7 linked regions of the Kluyveromyces lactis genome follow. The protein of the gene in region 1 binds, or shares a complex with, the protein of each later gene. Links are inferred from orthologs where the notes say so. Each region holds a gene or a part of one and is shown in the gene's direction. Other genes may lie near its edges.

Region 1 (3,071 bases):
TCAAAGCGTATTGCTTCTGTGTCCGGTAGTTCGCTAGCTTGTCTCCAAATTTCTTTACACTCCAAAATACGCTCCATTACCGGATGATCTTTCATAGAAATGAAATCTTCGTTATTCTGTAATTCATATAAGAAAACTGCAAAATATGAACTAATTGTTCCAAGATATGAAGATAATGCCATAATTTTGATCTGAATCAATTCATTATTCTCCTCAGTTTGTTTGAGTTTCAGCTCGTCTAAAACGGGTGATAATTTACTGAATTCCTTTGATAAAGGAAGGTATTCTGGGAAGGATGTCTTCAAGAAACCTTCCTTTCTCTCTAAGTCCATGTTGAGAACATCCCTAAGGGAGATTTCAGTAGGACGTTCTTGATCCTTTTGATCTTTAAATTGACCTAAATCGAATTCCTTAGCTTCTTTTACCCATTCTTCATCAACTTCATCCTCAAGATAGTCTTCCATATGAAGGTCTTCCAAATGTTTCTTCTGTTGGCGCAAAGCTTCCTTTTCTATCTCTCTTGCAGTCTCTTCATCGTCCAAGTCATCGGCACCGTAGTATTCTGCCTTAGAAGCACCCCATGCGTTCTCATTGTCCAGCATAGTACCACTCTCTTCTTCTGCATTCTCACCAACGTCTAATTTCCTACCAAAAACCTTCTTATACACAGCTTCACCTGTTAATTCTTCTTGTTCACTTTCATCATCTTCAACTTCTTCACTTTCATCCTCACTATCTTCATCTGACATTCCCATCACTTCTTCTTCTTCATCCACTGAAAGATCAAAATCATCTTCTGGTTCCCTTTGATCAAGACCTGCGTCCTCAAGTAGCACTTTTTCTCTCTTGTTTGCAAAGTCATCGACCTCATTCATGCCATAGGCAACATCTTCTTCCTGGTCTTGTCTACGATTAGACCCTCTTTTTGAGACCTTTGCACCTCTCTTTGCCATATTTGAAGTACAATGTCCAGTACAATTTAAGTCCAACTCAATATACAGTCGATTACAGCGGCTGATAGTAGTTACCTGTTATGCAGCTTGTCATTCTCTTAGTTATACCTATTCTCTGAATTGAGATGAGATGAGATGAGCTTTAACTTTAAACAAAATTTTCCAACATTGCTTTTTCAAGATTTTTCACCAAAATTGAAAGCTGCACTACTACTGGAAGAGATCACAATGAGATGAGCAAAGTTGATGCGCAAATAGTCAATGCAAGGGTTAGTATCCAGTAACTAGTCTTCGTTTTCATATTAGGATTTGCTGTTGAACGAAGAAACGGTCGAGAATCGCAGTATTAAACGCTTGAGTCAAGAAGTTATTTGCATCAAATTGTGATAGGAATCAACTAAAGATGAGTGGACGTTTACCTGGATTGAACCAGGGGAAACCATCAACCGGAACCTCGCTGAAGTTTAAGCCCAAAGTGGTAGCTCGTAAATCTAAGGAGGAACGAGATGCTAACGTTCTGAAGGTAGAAGAGCCGAATAAACAGGTTGAGAAGAAGAAATATACACAGAAACCACAGGGCAACCAGAAGAGGCAGCCGAAGTATTTAAACAACACAAGAATTATCACATCAGGCCCATTGGCAGCTGGTAATTTCTCTGGAGGATCTAATAAAGGGAATAATGGATTCATTAAGACGGAGGGTTCTCAAAGCAGTCTTGTGCAACGCGGTTTGAAAGCTGTTTCTGATGATGAAGCAGAGGGATCGGACGCAGAAGATTCAAAAGCTGGGAAGAGAATTAACATGGGGAAAGAGTATACAGAGGCAGACTTCAAGAAGGAAACTGACGATCTGTTTGATGAAGATGAGGATTCTAATACTGATGCAGCCATGAGTGAAGAGACCAGAGCCTCTAAACAATTGGCCAATCTTTTCCCTGTCAGGGCAGTTCGTATCAATCACGAAAAGGTGGATTCTCTACAGAAAGTTGTCCAGGAATCCATGTCAACTTTGCAGACCAGGGAACCAACACCAGGACCTGTGAAGCTAGAACCAGAACAATCGGATGGTACTTTAAATGACATAGTGAACGAGAAGGAACAGCAGTTAAAAGAAAAACTGCGTTTGCTTCAACTTCAACAAGATTTCCAATCTGTTGACAGCGCAGAAGCTCTCAGGGAAACAAATTTGTTATTTGAGGATCATAAACATATGTACAAAAAGTTAAACAAGATTAACGACGTTCCAAATAAGTTTATGTTCTTCCAGTTCCCATCAAATCTACCTGAATTTCAGCCACAACCCCCAGTGAAATCCACCGAAGAAGATGTAAAGCCAAATGGTGAAGCAAAAGTAGATGAAGGAAGTGAACAATCAAATAGTAAAAACAGCAAAGAAACACAAATAGATTCACCTGAGCCTTTGATCGGAAACGTTGGTTCAATTAGAATGCATCGATCCGGCAAAATGTCAATCAAGATCGGGGACGTCGTAATGGATATCAGCAGGGGCGCAGAGTCTACATTTTTGCAAGACGTGGTTACACTAGATTTGGAGGGAGAAGAAGCGGAGCTACTAGGCCAAATCGACGGAAGAGCGATTGTAACACCACATATCTAATTATATAGATTTCTGCATGTACATGATAGTTGAAGAAAAAGCTCAGCAAATCAATTCGTATGATAACATTAATTTAATGTAGACAACTACATCAAGAATGGGAGATTCAAATACCACTGCGAACACAATCAGCAGCTACTGCATAGTAACCTAATAAAGATGCATCGCCTTTTCAGGTTATAATTCCTGAAATCAGAATAGTCATTAAGTACGAGTTGATGTTTGGATATGCAGGGCTCCATTACAAAACTTGTTCATGTATACAAGGATTCCCTTAAAAATGACTTCAACAAACACAAAACAAGGTATAATCGAAAGGACACTACAACCATAACCTTACCTCTCACGGTATTTAGTCAGTTGATTGAATCAACTTGAAAAGTTTGGATCAATAAAATTTTGGAAGTCTGAGTTATGACGGATAGTCAGGATAAAGTAAATGGTGGATCCAAGAACACATTTCTATCAAGAGTGTTTGGTGTGCACTCATCTGCTGTAGA
Region 2 (4,256 bases), on another chromosome or scaffold:
TAGATTAATCCGTAATCTCTCATATCCTGTAACATTGTTCTCTGCGTATTACTTAGTTGATCGCACTTATACGCCTTCCCTAGCTGTAATGCACCTAGCATGAAAATGAAATTTAGAACATCCACGGGATCCATCTGTAAACTTTCTGCCATCTTCAAATATTGAAGAAGAAGAGTCCACATCTGTGCATTGACATCTTGCAAGAGAAATTGGAAACCTTGGTTAGTAATTTTGAGTTCGCCATATTCTGCCTCTTCCATTAGACCACTATGCTGCAATAAGTCTAGAACCTTTCCACCAGGAGTGTTTGTATTCGGTGTTCCCACCATGTAATGCAAGATTGTTTCCCACTTTTCTGCACTATACTGGTCCAAAGTAGCTGTAGATACGGGATTGGTATCATCATCCGCAACATCACCAAAAGAGTTATTGATTTCACCACCAGTTAATACATTTTTGAAAGATTTCTTGAAAATTGGATTCAAACGAATCAATAGAGGTTGTTTACTCTCACCTTCTATTATAAGATTCAAGGATTTCATCGATTTAATAGAGTATTGTAACTGGTATTTCGCATCTGGCTTGACCCATTTATCTAAATCTCTAAGCGAGACATCGTGGTCCTGAAACAGCATCGACATAATGAAGAATTTTGCCATGGGAGAAAGCAATCTATAAATTGCCAAACATGTCGCTGGAGACTCATATAATCTTGATTGGACTTGCTCTGGAAGACCTTCTAGGTAGTCATTAACGGTGGTCTTGAAAAGATTCAGACTCATAGTATTGAAAATATGCAGCTCAAGGCCTCTTGAAATAGCAAGAGATTAGAACCAAGTGAGGAGATCAACAATTTGGTCACGTCAATCGATAATGTTATTTCAGCCTAATACGATTTGCTGCATTCGAACGATGCAATGCATCCATGATATCCGATTTGGAAAAGCTCATCTGAATCAATAGTACTTAAGGTTGATACCATGTCAAATCCAGACATTCGCATATTGAAAGTAAAATATATGTCACGTGTATATATATCATGTAACACGAAGAAATGTATCTTGCACGTGACTGAAAATTTGTTGATGACAGAAGAAATTTCTTTTCACTCTGTCAGATCAATTTTGGAAAATGAAAAAGATCAAATCAAGCTCATCTCGAATTTGAAATAATCGAAATACGCCAATGATTAATGTAGATGAGCTCTGTCAATATTGATGGAAACAAAGAGAAGTGCATTTATTGGCAGTTAGTGACTGTACTGATTTGCTGACCTCAACAAAGATTTGATTAAGTGAAATTTACTGGTTGGCTCCTTCTTTTTTCACTTTCAGTAGAGTAGCTTTGTTTGGTCTTTTTGCCTCTTTTCTAGATATTTTGTTTGATTAACTGTTTGGAACACTAATTAAGTTTGGAAAGGGTAGCTTTCAAATATCCTGATTGAATATTCTCTAAAATGAACCACACTGACTCCCATAATCCTGATGGCTATGAAAAAGATGAAGCGTTCGATGCTCTTTTGAAACCCGTCTTCAAAGGTAAAAAGCTGACTGACGAGATCAACACTGCCGAAGATAAATGGAATCTTTTGCCTGCCTTTTTAAAGGTGAAAGGGTTAGTAAAGCAGCATTTGGACTCTTTTAATTACTTTGTGGATGTTGATTTGAAGAAGATCATCAAAGCTAATGAGGTTATATTATCTGATGTCGATCCAGAGTTTTACTTGAAGTACATTGACATTAGAGTAGGATACAAACATAACGGCAACAAAGCTATTATGACCCCACCACATGAATGTAGATTACGAGACATGACATACAGTACTCCTATCTTTGTTGATATTGAATACACCAGAGGAAGATCAATTGTGTTGCATAGAGATGTGGAGATCGGTAGAATGCCCATAATGTTGAGATCAAACAAATGTATATTAGATGGTGCAGCAGAAAATGATATGGCCAAATTAAATGAATGTCCCTTAGATCCAGGTGGATATTTCATTGTTAATGGTACTGAAAAAGTCATCTTAGTTCAAGAACAATTATCTAAGAATCGTATCATTGTGGAAGCAGATGAGAAGAAAAACATCGTACAAGCTTCTGTTACATCTTCCACCCACGAAAGAAAATCTAAGACTTACGTAGTCACCAAGAATGATAAAATATACTTAAAACATAACTCTATCGCAGAAGAGGTTCCAATTGTAGTTGTTTTGAAGGCTTGTGGTGTTGTATCTGATTTAGAAATCATGCAGTTAGTTTGTGGTAATGATAGCAGTTATCAAGATATCTTCGCGGTGAATCTCGAAGAAGCTGCCGAACTAAAAATATACACGCAACAACAAGCCTTAGAATTCATTGGTACTAAAGTTAAAACTGTCAGAAGACAGAAACTTTCCATCTTGCAAGAAGGTATCGAGGCCATCGCTACGACAGTCATTGCTCATCTGACAGTGGAAGCTTTAGACTTTAGAGAAAAAGCATTATACATTGCAATGATGACTCGTAGAGTCGTAATGGCTATAGATAACCCAAAGATGGTTGATGACAGAGATTATGTTGGTAACAAGCGTTTAGAATTGGCTGGTCAATTGATGTCATTGTTATTTGAAGATTTATTCAAAAAGTTCAATAATGATTTCAAGGCAAACATCGATAAAGTCTTAAAGAAACCAAATCGTGCTGAAATGTATGATGCCTTACTAACCATTAACGTACATTCCAACAACATTACTACAGGTATGAATCGTGCAATTTCAACTGGTAACTGGTCTTTGAAACGTTTCAAGATGGAAAGAGCAGGTGTTACACATGTCTTATCCAGACTTTCTTATATTTCAGCATTAGGTATGATGACAAGAATATCCTCTCAATTTGAGAAATCTAGAAAAGTTTCAGGTCCTAGAGCCCTACAACCTTCTCAATTTGGTATGTTATGTACCTCAGATACTCCAGAAGGTGAGGCCTGTGGTTTGGTTAAAAATTTGGCATTAATGACCCATATCACCACCGATGATGAAGAAGAGCCTATAAAGAGGATTTGTTACTTGTTGGGTGTGGAAGACATAAGTTTAATTGACAGTGCTTCAATTCATTTAAATTATGGTGTCTACTTAAACGGTACAATCATAGGGACAACTAGATTTCCTACAAAGTTTGTGTCTCAATTCAGATGTTTAAGAAGAACTGGTAGAGCGTCAGAGTTCATCTCTATATATACCAATACACATCAAAAAGCAGTTCATATTGCTACTGATGGAGGAAGAATCTGTAGGCCGTTGATAATTGTTTCGAACGGGCAGTCTTCTGTTACTGCAGACCATTTAAGATCTCTTCTGGCTGGAAAATTACAATTCGATGATTTCTTAAAACTGGGTTTAGTCGAGTATCTCGACGTTAATGAAGAAAACGACTCGTTCATTGCATTATATGAAAAAGATCTATCTGAGAATATTACGCATCTAGAAATTGAATCATTTACTGTCTTAGGTGCAGTTGCTGGTTTGATTCCATATCCTCACCATAATCAGTCTCCACGTAACACTTATCAATGTGCGATGGGTAAGCAGGCTATTGGTGCAATTGCATACAATCAATTCAAAAGAATTGACACCTTATTGTATCTAATGATATACCCTCAACAGCCTATGGTGAAAACCAAAACGATTGAATTGATCGATTACGATAAACTTCCGGCAGGTCAAAATGCTACGGTGGCAGTTATGTCCTACTCCGGTTATGATATCGAGGATGCGTTAGTTTTAAATAAAGCGTCCATTGACAGAGGTTTTGGACGTTGTGAAACTCGTCGTAAGAACACCACCGTGTTGAAGAGATATCCAAATCATACTCAGGATATTATTGGTGGTATGAGAGTTGATGAAAATGGTGAGCCTATATGGCAACACCAAGCATTAGGCCCTGATGGGCTAGGTGAAGTTGGAATGAAGGTTGAAAGTGGACAAATTTATGTCAATAAATCTGTTCCAACTAATGCGTCGGATAGCATTCTAACTCAAACACAAGCTCAGTACAAGGAGACTCCAGTGGTATATAGAGCTCCAGAACCTTCTCATATTGATCAAGTTATGATGTCAGTTTCTGATAATGACCAGGCTTTGATCAAAGTTCTATTGAGACAAAACAGAAGACCTGAATTGGGTGATAAATTCTCATCGAGACATGGTCAAAAGGGTGTCTGTGGTATCATCGTAAAACAAGAAGATCTTCCTTTCAACGATCAAGGTGTAGTACCAG
Region 3 (2,189 bases), on another chromosome or scaffold:
CAACTGCTCCTACCGTCGGCTCTAGTCCTTCCATGGCCTCTGCTAGATTTTACCATCCAAAGGTCATTGATCATTATACAAACCCAAGAAATGTTGGGTCTCTAGACAAGAATTTGCCAAATGTTGGAACGGGTCTTGTCGGTGCCCCAGCTTGTGGTGATGTGATGAAATTGCAAATCCAAGTTAACGACGAAACAGGAGTGATAGAAAACGTTAAGTTCAAGACGTTCGGGTGCGGGTCTGCCATCGCTTCTTCTTCATACATGACCGAATTGGTCCGTGGGAAAACCTTGGAAGATGCAGCAAAGATTAAAAATACAGAAATCGCCAGAGAATTGAGTTTACCTCCGGTTAAATTGCATTGTTCTATGTTGGCTGAAGATGCCATCAAGGCTGCCATCAAGGATTACCAGGCTAAGAGACCTACAACACAGTTGAAATAGAGTGTTAGAGTTAAGAGTTAAATTAATTAGTTAATCTCTAATTTTCTTATTGCTTCTCCGGCTCAAACTTTCATTTGTCCATTGAATGGACTTTAGCATACTCGTCTTTCCCTTAATTCTTTTGGTTTGACTTACGATTTTCCCTCGCATTTTAACTCCACTACAAAGTTAAATCGAACACTATATTTTTCCGAATATATCATACAGTTTCTGAAAGCTATCTAGGAGAGCTAAATTCCAAGATTAGGTACTTCCATTTATCGTGCCTTATCAACTGCCCATGATTCGTAATTTTTTTTTTTTTTTGGCTACCCTTTTTTTTACAACAGTTGTTATCTAGTGTATAACTAACATGTAGGTTCATTCATCATTTGTATTATAATCATCCAGACTGTTCCGACAAGCGTTTCAACTAGTTGCAGAGTTGAGCGGACCGTCTCTCTGTATCCTGGATTCTTCGGACTTCTAAGGGATGGCAAATTGATTAGCGTTACCCGAAGTTGTTTCTTTTACCCGGACACATATTTTTTTCATGGGCAAGAAAAATCTTGAAAAATTTCGTTGTAACTCATCGCCTGAAGGAACAACTGAGAGACAGACAATCATATACATGTGATGCGCTTTCGATTCGGCTCACTGTAGATAGTCTCATATCAGCAGTGAAATTATTAGTTTGAAACCTTTCATACCCACTACAGACTCTCCGATAAGTTCCCTTCTTTTTCGTCTCTCATTTGTGTTCCTACTGGCCCACCGACTTTAATAACTAGAACCAACACAACAGTACTCTCATTTACCAACACACGTCATGTCATCGGCACTATTTGATGACGTTTTCACCGTTCAAGAAGTGGACACAGGAAGATACAACAAGGTCTCTCGTATTGAAGCTCAATCGACTTCACAAGAATCCTGTAAGTTAACATTGGATATCAACAGTGAATTGTTCCCAATAAAGACTCAAGATCAACTTGCAGTCATGATCACAACTTCTCTCCAACTTGACGGATCGGAGGAACCTCAGGGTACCTCTTGGAGAGCACCACCTGCTGGAACCAGATCTCTTGCAGATGATTATGACTATGTCATGTACGGAACTGCCTACAAATTCGAAGAAGTTAAGGGTAACAAGGATTTGCTTGCAGTATACTATTCATTTGGTGGCTTGTTGATGAGACTTGAGGGAAATTATAGACTTTTGAACAACTTGAAACAAGAAAACGCTTACTTATTGTGTCGTAAGTAAGAAATCTTGTGGGTACTATATATCATAGTCAAAATAGAAAACCGACAACTGTATAATAGACTTTCAGGTCAAAGCTCTGGTTCTTCACTCCTCCGGAAGCTACGGCCTTTACTTACACCTCTCCTCATATATTAATGCATTTTTAACTTTCCATCTTAGCTTCCTATCTTCAAACTGTTCTTACTTCCAGTCACCACAGCATAACGAAGTTGCTCTTTCTTTTGCTCGAGGATTCTTCAATTCTGTGCTTCTTTGTATAAGAGGAGATACCATAGAAACTGTTAAAGCCGTCTTTTTTCTCGAAAATAGAAAAGTTAGGATCCAATGACCTCAATAAATAGGGTTCGGCCATTGCCAGTTGATGGCAAAATATTCGAGACGGGCGTTGAAGGAGCATATTAGCAGTAGATATATAAATATAGAAGAAGGTCTATTTTGTTAGGTTACCCATATACAGGGGTTATTAGTGTTCAATCCATATTTTTTTTGATTCTTTGGCG
Region 4 (2,180 bases), on another chromosome or scaffold:
TTTTGAATATCCGGGTTTTGCAACAAGGCGATCTTCATAGAAAGAAAGTTGAATGCAAATGATTCGAGGAATTTCTTCTTCGATCCGATACCATAGAATAATAACGTAAATCCCTGCAGTAACTCGAAAGTAAACTGCTGAAAGAGTGTTTCATGTATTTTTTGTACTGCCTTTGTCGATGAACGATGGAATATATCATTGGAAAGTTGAGAAAGAATGTTATATTCATCTCTGGAAATACTTGGTGCCGAGGACATCGAGTTCTTGGATCTTTTATCAGTTTTTAGGATCTTGGTCTGATCTATGAAACCTTCGAAACCATCGAAAAAATATATTTGAGATTGTTCATCAGATGTTTGGTCATTATTATCGCTCTTTGGCAACTTAGTCGGTTTGAAATTAGGGTTCAAGTTCAATTTCAGATGCTTATACTGCTGGATATCGTCGTATGCAAGATCATCGTCTATAATTTTATTCCTTTGAACTGTATTTCTGGTAGTCTTTCTTTGGGGTGATGGTTCTGCATTAAATGTAAGTTTTCTCCTAGGCGACTTATTAGGTGAGCTTTCATTAGAATCTATTTTAATTTTTAGATCCTCGTATTCGTCGTCATTGTGTATCAATTCATTAGTATCTGACACATAGTCAATGGCATCATCTTCCTCCAACTTCACCCTCTTGGTTGTTTTCCTTTGCCTTCGCCTGGGAGTTGCAGTATCTGTCGATGAGTGCTTCCTACTCTCTTCATCTTTATATTCAGTCTCAATGCTAACAGACTCTAATGTGAGCGATCGTTTGGGTGACTTAGGTCGTACCGTTTTGGAAGGCGAAAGAAAATCAAAACTTTTAAGTTTCTTCGGTGACTGATATCTTACTTTGGAAGGTGATATGAAAATGTCTTGGTGATTTACAATATCAATGTCTTCTTCTTCTTCCTCATTATCACTGCACTCTTTCTTCGTCATGTTTTCAAGGTTTAACCGCTCCAAGATAATCAAATACTCTAAAGTCTAGAGAATGGAAACTAACTTATAAATGTGGGAGTTGTTCTTCTATCAAACCTCGCCCACAGGTATTAACCCTATACACTATATTTGACATACAAACCTTAAATGTCAACATAAATATCGATTCAAAGTTAAAGGCATGAAGCTCTACTTTTTTTTTTCTGAAAAATTTCTATATGAGATGAGGAAAGAATTAAAACCTACTCTCAATAATTATAGCGATGAGGTTCATTTTAGAGTGTATGCGATAACGTGTTGAAGGAGCTTATGGGCAGGTAACGGTGCGTTAACGTATCGTGTTTGAGGAGTCTGACATTGAGAATTAAGTTGTAGGATGCTTTCGTTTTGCCCATTATGCAATAACATGTTGTTGGTATCAAAAGCTGATTCAGGTCTGTATAAACTAGCATGCGGATCATGCCCATACCAGTTTTTAATTGATGGGATAGAGGTATACGATAGAAAGAACCTCCCTAGGAAAGAAGTTGATGATGTCTTAGGTGGAGAAGGTGCATGGGATAATGTTGACCAGACAGCAGCACAATGTCCGAACCATGACCAATGTGCGGGTGAAAGAGCTTACTTCTTCCAGTTGCAAATCAGATCTGCAGATGAACCTATGACAACTTTCTACAAATGTGTTAACTGTGGTCATAAATGGAGAGAGAACTAGAGATTGTGTATTTTTGAAATTTACTTTGATTTCGATACGCATCAAACAAAATATTATAGATCTTCTTAGCAGTTATTACATCGCTTAGAGCAAAAAACTGACAAGAAGATAAATGTTCGGCTTTAATCGCTGCCATTTGTCTCTCGCCCAGCTAAAAACGCATGCTTAATCTTTCAAATGATGAAAGGTAGATCACGCTTTCATTAGGCTCGCAAAAGGAAGTTGTTAGGGTTTGATGAAACTTCTTCTGAATCAAAGTGTAATATAATGTATAAATCTACAAATAGATTGAACAAGACAAAATAAAAGTATTGTCGACGGCCTGACAGAACCATTTCGTGCAACGCTGTATGGTACTAACGACCGACTTGGTTTTTGAAGCGTAAGAAATTAAGATCATTAGAAACTAAGAATTAAATACATGAGACGTTACATAAATAAAGGCATTCAAACCCATTCAACAGGGTTCTTCAATACTTGGAGTAATTTATCTTCTCTAG
Region 5 (2,417 bases), on another chromosome or scaffold:
ATTATGTTTGGTAAAGTTCAAGCGATTGCCAAGGCTGCCGGTGGTCAAGGTATTATTTCCTCATTCTATTTGCAAAGTGATGATCTTGATGAAATTGATATCGAATGGACTGGTACTGATACTACTCAAGTTCAATCCAATTTCTTCTCCAAGGGTGAAACTACTACATTTGACCGTGGTGCTTTCCATTCGGTGGACGATCCTCAAGGTTCTTACCACAATTATACCATTGATTGGACTAAGGATGAAATCAATATCTATGTCGACAGTGCACTGGTAAGGACTATCACCAGTGACAATGGTCAAGGATACCCAGAGTCTCCAATGCGTATTTTCACAGGTATTTGGGCTGGTGGTGATTCCCAAAACGAGCCCGGAACCATTGAATGGGCAGGTGGTTTGACCGATTATACCAAAGCTCCATTCAGCATGTATTTGAAAGACGTTATCGTTGTTGATTACTCCACTGGTACAGAATACTCATACTCAGGCACCGATGGTACTTGGGAATCTATTGAAGCTAATGATGGTGAGGTGTATGGTAGATATGATCAAGGAGTAGCAGATTTCGATAAGTTAGCTTCTGGTGGAAGCGTATCAGACGACACTTCATCTTCATCCTCCTCATCCTCCACATCTTCATCTTCAACCAAGACAAGTGCATCTCCATCTACATCCAAATCTTCATCCACTTCCTCATCCTCATCTTCATCCTCATCCTCATCCGCATCATCATCATCCTCATCCTTATCCTCATCCTCCCCCACTACGACTTCTAAATCTAGTACCACAATTCCAACTACTTCCACTGAAAGCACCTTGAACACAACTAGTGCTTCATCTACCAGTGCTTCATCATCCAGTATTACTGCATTGAACACAACATCTTCCTCCACTTCCCTATCATCTTCTTCAACTCAGTTGAATACAACTGAATCTCTAATAACTTCCACGGAAGAACTTGTGACCACAGGTTTCTCATCTTTGGTCACTACCACCGCTGCTGACGAAGAGATCACATCGTATGCCACTGGCGAGACAAGCTCATCAGCTGCTTTAACATCCACACAGTCAGAAAACGCTGCTGCTTTCAATTTACCGCAATTGCTTGCTATCATTCCAGCACTTCTACTTCTCTAATAAATAGTCATTTTGTAATATAAACTAACCTCGTTGAATTTTAATAGGTGCATCTTAATCGCTATGGTACCAGCATCAGCCATGCAACTGGTATGCACAAAGCAGGATACGTATACCCTGAGCACTTGTTTCGTTCATCTAAATCATGATACACGGGATTATTTTTCACCGCTTCGAATATATTGAAAGCCATGCAAAGAGAAGAGATGAGCTGAGTTGAGATCAAAGAGTAGCAAGTAATAAAGACTGTATCGGCCTATACTGAATTATCCAAGTAAAAAGCTTCTCATATAACAAAATTCCAAGAAAATGCGCGTGCTTGAGGAAAAAAACGCTTTTATGAGCGACTACGAAACTTTGCAGTTCCTCATATCATTACAGAATCAACACCGATGGACCTCTGGATCAAAATCAGACAGGAAACACAACAAACCATACTACCATCCAGAACTGCAAACGATAACCAGAGACACGGTAAGGTACATAACACAGCGTTCCACTACAGCAGAAGACCCAGAAGAACCAGAAACGTCGGACAAGACCGTACCCAATAACGCCAACAAATCCACACTGCTGAACCTAACTACAGACCAATTCTCAACACTAATGCAAGAATTAAATGCTTTCCCACTATACAAAGCAGAAAAACTACAAATAGTGAACCAATTACCAACAAACTTGGTCCATTTGTATAGCATAGTCGAAGAGTGCGAATCAAGACTTGACGAAGGTCAGGTGACCTCGCTTCTCGAATGCATCTCCCGCACGTGCCTCTAATTATTATACACCATAATACAATATCTATAATGTTTAAATGCTTGGAGAAAAAAATCACATATAACAGACCGAAATACAATGAGAAAAAAGATCAGGAACATGAGTTTCAATGTTTCCAAGTGACAGTATAAGGGAAAAAAGGGATACCCTAGAATAAAGTAGTTATCAGGGCTTCTGAGTGGGTTAGACTTGCATCAGGACCTTTGAAATAGCTGATACTGATAACGATGGTAAAATTTGGTGAACATTTGAAGCGATCTTTGATTCGTGAGTACAGTTATTACTATATCAGTTACAATGACTTGAAGACGGAGTTACAGGAATCCTTGGAAGCTAACAACGGAAAATGGAACGAGGATTTGGAGACTCAGTTTTTGGAGTCCTTGGAAATTGAATTGGATAAAGTGTACACTTTTTGCAAAGTGAAGCATAACGAGGTAGTGCGTCGTATCAAGCAAGCCCAGGAACAAGTTTCTGTCGCTGTGCGTTCTTTGGATACA
Region 6 (2,636 bases), on another chromosome or scaffold:
CTTGATAAATTTGGTTGGCCAATTCTCTTGTTGGTGTAACTACAAGTGCAAAACATCCAGATTGTCTTGTGATATTTTGACCCAACGATAGTATGCTTTGGAAAATTGGTAATAAAAACGCCAATGTCTTACCAGAACCAGTTTGTGCATGAATAAACAAGTCGTTTTGTGCTTGTAAGAATGGTGGGATAACCAACTTCTGAATCTTAGTTGGCTTAGAAATCTTCATCTTGACGTTTAAGTGTGAAACCATCGTGTCAGTGATACCGAACGAATCGAAGGTGTCACCAACCAATGGTGCATTGGAATAAGTCACTTCGGCTTTTTCATCATGAGCATTACTATTGGTAACTGTGTCAATATTTCTACTGGACGTGAACAAAGAGGAAACGATTTGCGAGTTTAGCTGTAATGGTTGCGTTACCCTAGCTGGTTGTTCTACATTAGAACTGTTATCAAATCTTGATCTCTTAGGTTCTACAGGTGCCTGTGCCGAAGTTGAATTCGAAGAGGAGGCTTCCAATTCTTCAAAAGTTGGTGCTCCATCAGATTCTAATGGTCTCTTTTCACCCCTGACCCTCGGTTTACGACCTTCCATCATCATTTTGGCCTTTCTCCTGTCCTTCCATTTACCACCGGTAATTTTACCTCTACTGACTGTTTCACTAGCATCACTAACGTCAGTTGTAAAATTTAACAGCATTCCATCATCGTCATCATTGAAACTCATCTTTACCTACTTGATGATCGTTGATATGGGCTGCTGAGCGACGTACAGAGACTTTCACTTCATCTAATGTCAGCTCATCGCACAGTTAAGTCCTACTTCCATATTAAAATTTTCTATGCTTGATGTCAAGAAAAAGCAATACAAAGGTAAATACTCACAGAATTGGATAAAATACAGTTAGATTGGCGACTATCAGGATCGTTTGAACTGGACATTTGACACTGTAGTGGTTCGTGCTATGTACAGGTCATGTTATGTGCTGAAATTGATATCTCTTTGGTTTCATTACTGATTCAATTCTACAAACCTTGTCTGAAGTTTAATGTTAAAGCATATTATATACACGTAGAAAGGCAGATGGACAGAGACAAAAGTCGCTTATGACAAATATTAATAAGGTGGTGATGAAATACTCGCCCAGCCGGTATGGAACCAGTTGGAAGGTGATAAACCATCCTTTTACAGACGCTTCTCTCTTCTTGTTTCAATGATCACAAGACACGGCTCATCGCATCGATTGAAATTTTGACATTTCGGATGAGAAGGCTCACTCATTAGTACAACTAATGAGTGTTGAACCACTTGTACAACCAACTATTGTCCTGTTTCTATCCAGGTATCTGTAAGAGGGTGTCAGTGGTCTCAAAATGTCTAATGGTTTGTTTGTTACCGATGAGGACGGTGATACTGAGATGAATGGGAACGGTAAACTCGATAAGAAGCTCCAATCATCAGAGATTCTTAAAGAAGACGATCCAGTAGTGAATGAAATACCCATTAATTTAACGGTTGGACCTTGTCCATTGCATGTGTTACAGTTTCCTAACAAACCTAAAAGACTGGCGAAGAATATGGATGAACATCCTCCAATTGCTGGTGTACGCTATAAGGATGAATCAAGCGTTTGGGAGATAGATATCCCATTGAATACACAGGTCTTCTTCGACAAAGAAAAAGCTGCTGAGTCTTGGAACAATGTCGACGTTCAAACTTTGAAAGGTGTGGCTGTAAGCAACGACATGTTGCAATACGCAGGCGTTATGAAACAAGGACAGCTATATTTAATACCAGTAGAGAAAGTTGCCCAAATGAGACCATACTTCCGTTACATCGATTCGCATCAACAGGTTAAGAAGGACGAGGATGCCAAGGCGAAACCTGCGAATCCAACTGCCAAGAAAAACCAGGTAATAACAATGTCAGTGAAGAGTAGCAGCGAAGCGAATCAAAATAGACTAGGAGGTGCATTGCTAGCTCATAAGGTAGCAGACGAAGAGGAATTCAAACCTTTGGAATGGAAGGACGATACTTTCGAATCGTTTGTAGAAGAAGTTACAAGTGAAAAAAGTACTGTACCATTAAAACCAATGGACAACGACGCTGTGTATCTATCAAAACTATTTTAATTAATTATCGTATTTAGTAAGTATAAATATATATTAAACCGAGAAGGGATCAAATTCTCCTTAATCATACCACATCTTAATCAACTCCTCAGAAACAGCACTAGGTGTCAACCCTCCAAGATCAGTGATCAAAGCTGTGATGTATTCTTGACTTGTAAAGTCGACAGAAGGCCCACTCAATGGTTCTTCATCGTCTTCTATACCGTTTTTGCTAAAATCTAATGGATCTCTTTCCATTGGAATATCATCTGACGAAAGAGGGAACATACGTACGAACTTATGCGACTCACTAACCACATAGAATGGTTTCCTTGCATTCTTCGCCAAGACACCGATAGAATACGTTCCTACTAGATTGATAATACCTCCAGATTCAGCAACACCTTCGGCTCCCACAAAGATCTTGTTTACCTTATGGATGATCGTACCAACAGCATTATCTACAATCATTGTCACTGGGATACCCTTCTTTTTAAGTAAATGATACAGTTGCAACCCTT
Region 7 (2,835 bases), on another chromosome or scaffold:
TATTACATTCTCTTTTCAAAGATGGTGCATATTTCCAGAAACTGAAGTTTGAAATTAATGAAATTTTGTCTGCCGGTATAAACGAAGAATTAAGAATTCCACAAGCATACAAAGCGGCAACTTTCTTGCAGCAACTCTCAATTTTGAGTTCAAGAACGTTCAAAAATGTCTGCAGGAATCCAAAGCTATTGTTAGGTAACTACGTCTTGACGGTAGCTTTGGGTTTATTCCTGGGTATCCTATACTATAATGTTGAAAACGATATCAGTGGATTCCAAAACAGACTAGGCCTTTTCTTCTTTATTTTAACGTATTTCGGTTTCCTGACATTCACTGGGTTAAGCTCCTTCTCTTTGGAAAGATTGATTTTTATCAAGGAACGTTCCAATCATTACTATTCTCCGCTAGCGTATTACATTTCAAAAATACTATCTGATATTATTCCATTACGTGTGGTACCACCTATCCTACTTGGGTTAATACTTTATCCTTTGGTTGGTTTAAATATGAATGATAATGGGTTCTTCAAATTTGAAGGTATTCTAATCTTATTCAACCTTGCCATCTCACTGGAGATTTTGACAGTTGGTATCATTTTTGAAGACTTGAATAACTCGATTATAATCAGTGTTTTGATAATCCTTGGTTCTTTGTTATTCAGTGGATTATTCATCAACACTAAGGATATTAACAATATTCTGTTCAAATATTTGAAGAACCTTTCAGTGTTCTATTACGCCTACGAATCTTTGATTATCAATGAAGTCAAGTCTTTGGTTCTTAGAGAGAAGAAGTATGGTCTCAATATTGAAATCCCAGGTGCCACTATCCTAAGCACATTCGGTTTCATCGTACAAAACCTAGTGTTCGATGTCAAAATACTAGCGCTATTCAATGTCATATTCCTAATATTCGGCTATTTCGCTCTTAAGTTGATAGTTATTGAGCAAAAGTGATCAAAAAATCATGGAGCTTATAAAAAGAGTGACGAACAGCCACTCAAACACAAAATTAGAATCTATTTAATACTGAAAGTTCATATATATTCAAAAGAATACAACTCTTATTACCGTAAGCCTAGTACAGGGAAGTTCATTTATTGATAGAAGTACTTTCATGTATCGGATCTCTTTATGTTCTCCATTGACTATATTGTGTGTATAACTTCCATCTGTTTGCCGCTTTTCTTTTGGAATGGATTCAAAAAAAAAAAACTGATCAAAGCTCAAAATAATAGCACGCGATGAGAAGAGGAATGGTTCAACTTATCGAACTAATAATTGATGAAAGAGTCAGACGCCTGACAAATTTACAAACTGATCTATTGAACCATTATTTAGGCCTACCTCTATTATTGTTAGGAACGCAAACGGTGTATTTTCCTTCGAAACCGATAATGAATTCGTTATTTAATTCAACAATAAAGCTCTCTGATCCAGCCAGAGAGCTGCATGAGAAGATGTGTTCTCAAGAAACTGGTAAATTGTTCTCTCAAAAAGAGTTAACTTCCATGTTAGACAACTGCTCGTTAAGTGATTTAATGCAATATGTTCAGGAACTTTTGGATAAGAATCTATTGAAGTTAGTGAAACAGAATAAAGAACTTAAGTTCCAAGCAGTAGATGCAGCTGAAGCAGAAAAGAAAAGCGGGATGAGCTCAGATGAGGCTCTTGTCTACTCATACATCGAAGCTAGTGGAAGAGAGGGTATATGGACGAAAACGATCAAGGCGAAGACAAATTTACACCAACATGTGGTTCTGAAATGTTTAAAATCACTTGAATCACAGAGGTACGTAAAGAGTGTAAAGAGTGTCAAATACCCAACCAGAAAGATATACATGCTTTACAATTTGCAACCATCCATTGACGTAACAGGTGGTCCGTGGTTCACAGATAGTGAATTGGACGTTGAGTTTATAAACAGTCTTCTGACCATCGTTTGGAGATTCACAGCGGAAAGAACATATCCAAATGGTTTTAACAACTTTTCCGACGAAAACGGTAGAGACGCACTCTATTCCAGTAACGTCAAAAGTTACACCACGATCGAAGAGATCCTTGAATTTATTTCTGAATCAGGAATATCTACAGAACAACTAACGAAACCAGATATTAGATCACTGTGCGAAGTTCTTGTATATGACGATAAGTTGGAGAAAGTATCTTTTGATTGCTTCAGAGTAACGTTGCAAAGTGTCTTACAGATGACTCAACCTGTTGGGGGACAACAAAGTTCGAAAAGAGAAGAATATTCTATATTCAGTCACGGAAATTCCATGGCAGCTTCCAGTTCAGATAAAGATGTCCTATACTTTGACGAATGGACGCTGTGAAGTTTAGATGCAAAGGTAATTTAGTCATAAAAAGAGTGTTCGTAATTGATGTATGTATATATGCCAAGAACTAATTACAAACTAATAATAAAAGCGTTCAACTTATGAGTCTGTTTTTTCTTTCTCAGTGGTTCACTGTGAAGGAGGGTATAACTCATTGAACACTTCTCCCACCATGTTGTTCATGTCAGTAGTTTGCAATTGTCTGCCTACCTTATCATAAGCAGCCCTGCTAGCCATTCTTGTTGCAGTAGATCCGATGAAACAAGATAGCATAGCCATTTTGGACCAAGGAAGATTTTCTCCGTTACCTTCTTCTACTATTGTTTCCAATTTGAAATCATGCACTGCACGAGAGAAACCAAACATGGTTGCGATTATACCGGTCAGTGTGTCACCCTGACCACCACATCTTTTCATAGATCCCTGAACGTCGTTTTCCCAACGTTCACCTTGAGAATTAACGATAATGTCATTTTGTCCCTTTGCAACAGTGATAC

The links.
Region 2: RPC53 (region 1) and RET1 share a complex: the UniProt entries of both Saccharomyces cerevisiae proteins name them as parts of the RNA polymerase III (Pol III) complex. The link is inferred for Kluyveromyces lactis from reciprocal best matches to the Saccharomyces cerevisiae genes RPC53 and RET1.
Region 3: RPC53 (region 1) and RPB8 share a complex: the UniProt entries of both Saccharomyces cerevisiae proteins name them as parts of the RNA polymerase III (Pol III) complex. The link is inferred for Kluyveromyces lactis from reciprocal best matches to the Saccharomyces cerevisiae genes RPC53 and RPB8.
Region 4: RPC53 (region 1) and RPC11 share a complex: the UniProt entries of both Saccharomyces cerevisiae proteins name them as parts of the RNA polymerase III (Pol III) complex. The link is inferred for Kluyveromyces lactis from reciprocal best matches to the Saccharomyces cerevisiae genes RPC53 and RPC11.
Region 5: RPC53 (region 1) and RPC17 share a complex: the UniProt entries of both Saccharomyces cerevisiae proteins name them as parts of the RNA polymerase III (Pol III) complex. The link is inferred for Kluyveromyces lactis from reciprocal best matches to the Saccharomyces cerevisiae genes RPC53 and RPC17.
Region 6: the proteins of RPC53 (region 1) and RPC37 are in contact, whole or in part, in a cryo-EM structure (PDB 7Z0H), measured with the Saccharomyces cerevisiae proteins. The link is inferred for Kluyveromyces lactis from reciprocal best matches to the Saccharomyces cerevisiae genes RPC53 and RPC37. Residues at the interface, in NP_010131.1 of Saccharomyces cerevisiae: Arg195, Ile196, Gln198, Leu199, Phe200, Leu223, Ser224, Glu225, Lys226, Leu294, Lys295, Met297, Asn298, Asn299, Lys300, Pro301, Glu302, Arg303, Phe304, Met305, Val306, Phe307, Gln308, Leu309, Pro310, Thr311, Arg312, Leu313, Pro314, Ala315; in NP_012950.3 of Saccharomyces cerevisiae: Ile71, Glu72, Glu73, Phe74, Pro75, Leu76, Lys77, Ile78, Glu81, Glu83, Ser84, Leu85, His86, Val87, Phe88, Gln89, Tyr90, Ala91, Arg93, Pro94, Arg95, Leu96, Val97, Arg99, Ala102, His104, Tyr112, Trp119, Asp126, Gln128.
Region 7: RPC53 (region 1) and RPC34 share a complex: the UniProt entries of both Saccharomyces cerevisiae proteins name them as parts of the RNA polymerase III (Pol III) complex. The link is inferred for Kluyveromyces lactis from reciprocal best matches to the Saccharomyces cerevisiae genes RPC53 and RPC34.

Annotation. Positions count from the first base shown.
Region 1 is NC_006039.1:1,432,947-1,436,017, reverse strand, and holds RPC53 (DNA-directed RNA polymerase III subunit C53), read left to right. Parts: upstream 1-1,356; coding exon 1,357-2,571; downstream 2,572-3,071. Other genes in the region: rRNA-processing protein SAS10, read right to left, coding at 1-953; autophagy protein ATG9, read left to right, coding at 2,986-3,071. UniProt on the Saccharomyces cerevisiae protein: DNA-dependent RNA polymerase catalyzes the transcription of DNA into RNA using the four ribonucleoside triphosphates as substrates. Specific peripheric component of RNA polymerase III which synthesizes small RNAs, such as 5S rRNA and tRNAs.
Region 2 is NC_006042.1:96,875-101,130, forward strand, and holds the start of RET1 (DNA-directed RNA polymerase III core subunit RET1), read left to right. Parts: upstream 1-1,456; coding exon 1,457-4,256. Other genes in the region: TFIIH/NER complex subunit TFB2, read right to left, coding at 1-782. UniProt on the Saccharomyces cerevisiae protein: DNA-dependent RNA polymerase catalyzes the transcription of DNA into RNA using the four ribonucleoside triphosphates as substrates. Second largest core component of RNA polymerase III which synthesizes small RNAs, such as 5S rRNA and tRNAs.
Region 3 is NC_006040.1:610,602-612,790, reverse strand, and holds RPB8 (DNA-directed RNA polymerase core subunit RPB8), read left to right. Parts: upstream 1-1,251; coding exon 1,252-1,689; downstream 1,690-2,189. Other genes in the region: putative iron-binding protein ISU2, read left to right, coding at 1-443. UniProt on the Saccharomyces cerevisiae protein: DNA-dependent RNA polymerases catalyze the transcription. of DNA into RNA using the four ribonucleoside triphosphates as substrates.
Region 4 is NC_006042.1:1,707,819-1,709,998, reverse strand, and holds RPC11 (DNA-directed RNA polymerase III core subunit RPC11), read left to right. Parts: upstream 1-1,341; coding exon 1,342-1,680; downstream 1,681-2,180. Other genes in the region: ORC2 (origin recognition complex subunit 2), read right to left, coding at 1-965; HEM13 (coproporphyrinogen oxidase), read right to left, coding at 2,128-2,180. UniProt on the Saccharomyces cerevisiae protein: DNA-dependent RNA polymerase catalyzes the transcription of DNA into RNA using the four ribonucleoside triphosphates as substrates. Component of RNA polymerase III which synthesizes small RNAs, such as 5S rRNA and tRNAs.
Region 5 is NC_006042.1:2,114,253-2,116,669, reverse strand, and holds RPC17 (DNA-directed RNA polymerase III subunit RPC17), read left to right. Parts: upstream 1-1,449; coding exon 1,450-1,917; downstream 1,918-2,417. Other genes in the region: CRH1 (transglycosylase), read left to right, coding at 1-1,140; VTC4 (Vtc4p), read left to right, coding at 2,145-2,417. UniProt on the Saccharomyces cerevisiae protein: DNA-dependent RNA polymerase catalyzes the transcription of DNA into RNA using the four ribonucleoside triphosphates as substrates. Specific peripheric component of RNA polymerase III which synthesizes small RNAs, such as 5S rRNA and tRNAs.
Region 6 is NC_006042.1:1,291,499-1,294,134, forward strand, and holds RPC37 (DNA-directed RNA polymerase III subunit C37), read left to right. Parts: upstream 1-1,377; coding exon 1,378-2,136; downstream 2,137-2,636. Other genes in the region: DBP7 (putative ATP-dependent RNA helicase), read right to left, coding at 1-730; GCN3 (translation initiation factor eIF2B subunit alpha), read right to left, coding at 2,197-2,636. UniProt on the Saccharomyces cerevisiae protein: DNA-dependent RNA polymerase catalyzes the transcription of DNA into RNA using the four ribonucleoside triphosphates as substrates. Specific peripheric component of RNA polymerase III which synthesizes small RNAs, such as 5S rRNA and tRNAs.
Region 7 is NC_006040.1:383,854-386,688, reverse strand, and holds RPC34 (DNA-directed RNA polymerase III subunit C34), read left to right. Parts: upstream 1-1,243; coding exon 1,244-2,335; downstream 2,336-2,835. Other genes in the region: putative ATP-dependent permease ADP1, read left to right, coding at 1-956; NNR2 (NADHX dehydratase), read right to left, coding at 2,468-2,835. UniProt on the Saccharomyces cerevisiae protein: DNA-dependent RNA polymerase catalyzes the transcription of DNA into RNA using the four ribonucleoside triphosphates as substrates. Specific peripheric component of RNA polymerase III which synthesizes small RNAs, such as 5S rRNA and tRNAs.